2 linked regions of the Rattus norvegicus genome follow. The protein of the gene in region 1 binds, or shares a complex with, the protein of each later gene. Links are inferred from orthologs where the notes say so. Each region holds a gene or a part of one and is shown in the gene's direction. Other genes may lie near its edges.

Region 1 (3,816 bases):
TGAGATATGAAATGAGATTAGGTTTTGAGCTGATGTCCTGCTTTTCTCTTTCAGGTGACAGAAGACACATTTCTTAACAGGCTTGCTCTGAGAACTGATGCGTGAACCACCTCAGCATGGCCAATAGAAGAGGAGGTGGGCAAGGCCAGCCTCCTTCAGTGTCTCCTTCCCCCGGTAGCTCCGGAAGTCTTTCCACTGATAGGACCTGCACTCATAATATATGCATGGTGTCTGACTTTTTCTACCCAAACATGGGAGGTGTGGAAAGCCACATTTACCAGCTCTCTCAGTGCCTCATTGAGAGGGGGCACAAAGTCATAACTGTCACCCATGCTTATGGAAATCGAAAGGGCGTCCGTTACCTCACCAATGGCCTCAAAGTTTACTATTTGCCTCTGAGAGTCATGTACAACCAATCTACAGCCACGACTCTCTTTCACAGTCTGCCATTGCTCAGGTACATATTTGTTCGGGAGAGAATTACGATAATCCATTCCCACAGTTCTTTCTCTGCCATGGCCCATGATGCTCTCTTCCACGCCAAGACAATGGGGCTTCAGACAGTCTTCACAGACCATTCCCTTTTTGGATTTGCTGATGTCAGCTCGGTGCTTACAAACAAGCTTCTTACTGTGTCTCTTTGTGACACAAACCACATCATTTGTGTCTCTTACACTAGTAAGGAGAACACTGTACTCAGAGCAGCACTGAATCCTGAAATAGTGTCCGTCATTCCTAACGCTGTAGATCCTACTGACTTCACTCCAGAACCATTTAGGAGGCATGATAGTGTAATAACTGTTGTTGTTGTCAGCAGACTTGTTTACAGAAAAGGTAATAACATAGTAGCTTTATTTGCATTGACAGCTTTTTTTTTAAATTTCTTGTCAGAAACTGTTCAATACTTGTATGTGATGATTACTTGTCTTTTTATTCTGTATGGTGGCTTTATAATGACTGGTAATTCTTGCAAGGGAAGGTCAGATAATCAGTTTATACATCTAAGAAGAGAAATGGATAAAAGCGGCTATAAATGCTGCCCCAACCTTTGAGGTTGTAATGGTTACCGAACAAAAGAAAGCCATTGACCAGATGTCCTCCAATCAGATCTTTGTAAAAATTCAGAGATCTCTGTGCAGGTAAGAATGTGCTGTGTGGCCTTTTCTTGTTTGATCACAGAAGTAATGGCTTCTTATTGCAGGCATTTGCAAAGCACATCTGTGACGATTTCATTCAGAGATGGCCCTAATGACTATTTTCATGGCTGACTTTTGTCTTTTGTGCACCTGTACCTGGTGTTCAGAATCAGTGGGCCTTTTGGCCCCATGGATATCCCGTGGCTTGCTGGTTTTATCTACGATATGCAAGGCACTAATATCAGCAGTCAAGTGATAGAAAGGAGTAGAGTGGCCTAGAGTCAAAACCTGGTTCATCGCCCATCTAGGACAGGTTACTCAATAGATCTGTGTCGGTTTTTTATTTGTCACAGCAGGAACTTTGTGAAGGTTCAGAGACAGCTCTTAAAAAGATCTCTGCCTAGGTTACTTTCCACCCCAGTCCGCCTTTATCCCTCAGGAGTATTTTGTTCTCCTTGCTGACTTTCAAGTTTCTGTGGCCCTAATGGTCCCCACTGTAGCATTTGTGTTTGTTACACATTTGAAACAACCTGCTTATTAACATAGAAATGGTCTCCCAGATGCTAGTTGAAAAAAAAGCTGTCCAATAATCAGAAATATCGTTTGAAGTTGGGGAGGGCAGTAACAAATACTACATAGTCCCCTTAACTATTTGATTTTTAAACATTTGTGCACACGCTGAATGTAGGGACCTTAGTTTAGAGCTCTAGGTCTTGGGATTAGCTCACTGACTGCCTAGGTCATATTGCATGGTTGCCTTCATAGAGCATACCGTTGCCACTCTGGGTTTCCTTTAAAGGGATGGGAGTGGGGCTAAAGTGTTGGGAACAATGTCCTGGTTTTTTAATTTGCTTTCAGTTTTATTCCAGTTTAGATTACCTCTCACCTGACAAGGACATTTTTTTCCCTGATATTCATTTATTGGCTTTTCAAGCTATTTAGCTTCCATAGAAATTTGTCAGCTTATGCACTATTTAATTATTCAATACAGTCATAAGGAAAGTGGGCATCCGATGAATTTGTGCAGAAATGCCAAGAGGGTATGCTGGGCCACATGGCAATATATTCAGGAGTCGGCAATGGCCAGTCTAGGTAGAGGTTTTAAGTAATTAAGTAAGTGGAGGTTGGTTAGAAAACTTGGACTCAGTTACATATTCTGAGGTGAAGGAAATTGTGTCTTTGTATTTTATCAAGATGATATGAATGGAGTTCTGTATTTTAAACCCCTGCCGGGATATTGTTGATGTTTTTATTATAACTTTAAAATCTTGCCCAACTTATTTTGTAATTAAATAGCTTAGCTTGGTGAGATAAAGGCAAAAGAATGATGGTGTGTGTGATTGGAGAGAGCACATTTACTCATACAAAGGTTAAACAGCCTCTGTTATCTCAGGAGTTCTAACTGTCGGAGCTAACATCAAAGTTACGGCCTTTCCTCTTTTTTTCTTTTGCCTGCCTTTCTTGCTTGCTTCTTTCTTGCTTTCTTCTGTTCTCTTTCTTTGCTTTCTTCGCTTTCTCAAGGCAGGGTTTCTCTGTGTAGCCCTGGCTGTCTTGGAACTCACTCTATAGTCCAGGCTGGCCTCGAACTTAAAAAGCTCCAACCTCCTCTGCCTCCCAAGTGCTGGGATTGAAGGCCTGTGCCACTACTGCCTGGCCCTTTCCTGATTTCAGTTCAGTTACTCAATAAATATCTACTGAACCTTCTCCAAAGGCCAGGTACCCTGTAAAATGTAACACAAGGAGGAATGCCACATCTATGGCCCAAATATGACTAGTTATATTAATGGTCTGTTCTTCTTAATAGGGTAATTCCCTTGGGAGACGTTCAGTGGCCCAGATTTGCAAGGCCCATTGACGTAGATTAAGAGGATAAAGCTGTGTTCTCCTTGCCCAGCTTTCGTGGAGAAAAGGCTGGCTTCTGAGCCTTGTTCTTTCCATGTAGTTGTGGCTTCCCACTGTTCTCTGTGGGTGCAGGCCACCCCAGATACTTGCTCTAGTGGTAATGACAACTTAACATTTGTATTCTGCAGTTGCTAAAGCCTGTGCATGGTACAGTACCTCACTTGCCCCAACAACTGTAGGGTAGATGTTACCTGCATGTAACAGACAAAGAAACAGTCCCAGAGAGGGTAAGTAACTCGCCCAAGGTCACACAGTAAGTAACAGATCACAAATAAGAGTTCAGCGCTTGAGTTAAGGTCTCTTTCTGTCCCTACCCTCAGTCTGGCCATTGGTATCTTAGAACATATCTGAACATTCTTTAGAACATGGTGAAGACTGTGAGTTAAAGTCAATTTGATTCAGAAGTGGTTTTTGTCAGGTTTATGTGAATGTGATTGGCAGTCTCTTTGTGTGTCGTGTTTTGAGTCTTTTTTAGAATCTTACCTCAGGAAGCTTGTTGGTTTATATTTTATAGTAAGGAGAGAAAACCTTCTGTACTACTAGAATATATAGTAACTATAACATTAATGGGACTGACTGGCTTAGTTTCCTATAAGGTTTTAGTCAGGATTAAATGACCTAGTGCATTTGTAGTAGGTTGTAAATGAACTAAGAGTTTAGTAAATGTAGCTATGACTGCTTCATTTTTTTTATGAAGAATGGACACTTGATGTTTTCCTTTAAAGGAGGAAAGTGGGAGGAGTAGGAAGCTAAATATTAAGTGGCATTAAGCCATTTC
Region 2 (3,275 bases), on another chromosome or scaffold:
AATGGGGAAAGCTTTTCAGCGCAGAAAGACACCGGTCTGCTCTGGAACGCCGTGAACACACTCTGCGGCAAATACGTTCCTCTCCAAGGTCCAGCAGTCCTGGCACACAGGACGCCCAGCCGGAGGCCGTGGGGTCCGGGGCAGGGAGGTCCTTATCAATCAGGGTCCTCTCAGCACCCCTCTGGCTTCACCCGTCACTCAAGACTACGGGGGCGGAGCCTGAGCGCCGGAGCGAAGGCGTGGTGCGCTGTCCAATGAGCACGCGCGGATCGGCTCCCTCGCGGGATCTGGGTTTCTTACCCCGCCCCCTCAGGGATTTGATTGGGCGGCTGGCCCGGGTGCTCCGCCTTCGTAGAGCGGTGACGGTCACAGCCAGGCGCAGCCGGGACCCGGACATTTACAGGCCAGTGAATGGTGAGTTCAGGGTCTCGAGATCCGATACGGGCGGAGGAGCTGTTGGAACCGGCTGGGACAGGACTCGCGCTAGCAAGGCGTCTGCGCCACGGACGCCTCCGGTTCCGCTTGGCTGGCTGGTTCACTTTCGATTCGGCCGGGTTCTCCTCTGCCCTGTTCGGCTTGGTCCGGTTCTCTCCGGCTTGGCTCGGTTCTCTCCGGCTTGGCTCGGTTCTCTCCGACCCGGCCATCGCTACCCTCGGTCAGCCAGAGACTGCAGCGGGACCCGGGTGCCCCTTCGCGTCCCCGAGGCGACTGGGCCCAGGGCTGGCGCTGTCTTCACTCTGTGCATTGACGACGGGCGGCTCGTGACGAGGCTCCGGGTTCCGGTGCTGGTCCCCAGCCGGTCCTCGTCGTACGGGAAGCCTCCACTCAGGTGTCTGAAGTGAATCTGGATTTGTAGGTCTCATTCCGCTTCCTCGGTTCGAGAAAACACTATCAGTCCACCTGTCCTTCATTCTGCTTTTCGAATTTCTTAGTTCCCAAAGAAATGGATGACACTTGAGTGTTTTGAAGGTTTGTTTTCTAGTCGGGCGTGGTGGCTTGGGAAGACTGATGCAAGAGGATCCCAATGTTTGAGGCCAGACTGCAAGTGACAGCAATCCTCCTGCCTTTAACCTGCTCAGTACTGTACAGGCTGTTTCCCCTTCTTTTCCTTTCCCTTCCCCTCATCTTGTCATCTTGCACTTTTCTCATACAGTAAGGAATCCTTTAGCCAGCGCTGCGAGGGACACGTGTGTTGTCTGCAGTCGCTGGTAACCGCTTCGTGTGGTGGTGGATTGGATCAGAACGAGGCTGAGGAGCCGTCACCCTCAGCCTGGGACCGCTGAAGTTTTTGTGTGCTCTTGGGAAGCATGCCTGGATGAAAGAGGAGTCCAGAGAAAGGGAAGATAAGACAGGAGTGCACCAGCACAAGAACATAACTTTGAAAACAACCGAGTTTTCTTGAACTGTATACCTTCAGAAGGGAGGAGGATGATCCTGTCTCTGCCCACCCTGACTGTCCTCATCCCGCTCATCTCCCTGGCGGGCCTGTTCTACTCCGCCTCTGTGGAAGAAAACTTCCCAGAGGGCTGTACCAGCGCCAGCAGCCTGTGCTTCTACAGTTTGCTTCTGCCGGTCACCGTACCGGTGTACGTGTTCTTCCACCTGTGGACTTGGATGGGCCTGAAGCTCTTCAGACATAACTAGGGTAGCTGAGGCCCCGCTTGTGCACGGGGCAAGAGGCTCCTGGTTGTTGGGTTCTGCCCTCAGGTGTTGCAGATTCTCCTGTTAGTGCTGTAGCTGAAAAACACTTACAATAAATATGTCCCAAGGGAGAGGAACATGACCGGTCTTCATCCGAAGACTGTTTTTTCTAAGATTTATTCTTAATTATGTGGATATGAGTGTGGGTCCCCAAAGAGGCCACACGAGGGTTGGAGGTACGAGCAACTGTAAGACTGCCGGAGCTTTACTCAGATCCTCTGCAAGGGCAAGCAAGTTCATGTCCTTAACCCCTGAGCATCTCTCCACCTGCCTGTTTCCTCCCTTCCCTTAGTTCTGGCTAACCTCAAACTGTGAGAGGCAGACCTTGACCTCCTTACCTTCCTGTCTCTACCTCCTGAGTGCTGAAGTTATAGGCAAGCATTGCCGCATGTGTTTATGTGGTCTGGCAGAACCCAGGTCGTGAACGCTAAGTCGGCACTCTGCCAGCCAACCACCCTGAGGACTGTGTTGTTGTTGTTGTTGTTTTGAGTCCATTCATTTAAAAGTCCGTCATTTGGAAGCCGAGCAGTGGTGGCACTCACCTTTACTCCCAGCACTCGGGAGACAGAGGTGGATCTCTTGAGTTTGGGCCAGCACAACGAGACTGTAAAAATAATAATTTGGGATTTTGTTTCAGCTTCAAGGTCAGTGGTGAGGTGTTGGATCTGCTGAGACAAGGGTTTCAGATGGTTGGGAACTACTGTGTGGGTGCTGAAGAAAATCCAGTGCTCAGGGATGACTCCTTTGAGGAGCTGAGTGGTCCGTAGGTTGGTGGCTCACAACTGCCTGTATTTCCAGTTCCAGAGGCTCTGACTCCCTCTGCTGGACTCTGGGTACCTGCACACCTGTGACATGTCTATTCATTCACACACATTAATAAATTTATTTTTAAGAGGGAAAAAAATCTGACTATAAACTTACCTTCATTGTTTTTTCTTTTACATTTATTTTTTTTCTTTTCTTTTTTTTCAGAGCTGGGGACCGAACCCAGGGCCTTGCACTTGCTAGGCAAGCGCTCTACCACTGAGCTAAATCCCCAACCCCTCTTTTACATTTATTTATATGAGTACACTCTAGCTGTCTTCAGACACACCAGAAGAGGGCATTGGGTCCCATTACAGATGGTTGTGAGCCACCATGTGGTTGCTGGGAATTGAACTCAGGACCTCTGGAAGAGCAGCCAGTGCTCTTAACCACTGAGCCATCTCTCCAGCCCCTACCATCATTTTTTCAGTGTCAGGTGAGCAAGGTCAGTGTTGGTGTTTTCTGGTTCTTGGATTCTTATTCAAGGAATAAAGGCCCATATACAGATTTTCAAAGTTGCAAGGAAATTTCACTCAAAGCAGAGCTAGATCAGGCATGCAGATACATGAGCCTATGGGGGCTCTTCTTACTCAACCACGACACCTGTTCTCCCAGCCTAAATTCCTCTGACTCCTTATGACTCCCTGTACCTCTAAGTTCAGAGGCTCTGCCTCCAAAAGCACTGTACTCAGGTTTTTAACACACACCCCTAAAAATAAACACAAAGTTTTCAAAAAAGAGAACATGTTTTCTTTGGCTGAAAGCCGTCC

What was found.
Region 2: Piga (region 1) and Pigy share a complex: the UniProt entries of both Homo sapiens proteins name them as parts of the glycosylphosphatidylinositol-N-acetylglucosaminyltransferase (GPI-GnT) complex. The link is inferred for Rattus norvegicus from reciprocal best matches to the Homo sapiens genes PIGA and PIGY.

Annotation. Positions count from the first base shown.
Region 1 is NC_086039.1:33,681,069-33,684,884, reverse strand, and holds part of Piga (phosphatidylinositol N-acetylglucosaminyltransferase subunit A), read left to right. Parts: intron 1-54; 5' UTR 55-116; coding exon 117-834; coding exon of another isoform or gene 835-1,052; exon of another isoform or gene 1,053-3,222; coding exon of another isoform or gene 3,223-3,265; exon of another isoform or gene 3,266-3,816. UniProt on the Homo sapiens protein: Catalytic subunit of the glycosylphosphatidylinositol-N-acetylglucosaminyltransferase (GPI-GnT) complex that catalyzes the transfer of N-acetylglucosamine from UDP-N-acetylglucosamine to phosphatidylinositol and participates in the first step of GPI biosynthesis.
Region 2 is NC_086026.1:28,965,272-28,968,546, forward strand, and holds Pigy (phosphatidylinositol N-acetylglucosaminyltransferase subunit Y), read left to right. Parts: upstream 1-1,153; 5' UTR 1,154-1,428; coding exon 1,429-1,644; 3' UTR 1,645-2,605; downstream 2,606-3,275. Other genes in the region: uncharacterized protein Pigyl1, read left to right, coding at 204-842. UniProt on the Homo sapiens protein: Part of the glycosylphosphatidylinositol-N-acetylglucosaminyltransferase (GPI-GnT) complex that catalyzes the transfer of N-acetylglucosamine from UDP-N-acetylglucosamine to phosphatidylinositol and participates in the first step of GPI biosynthesis.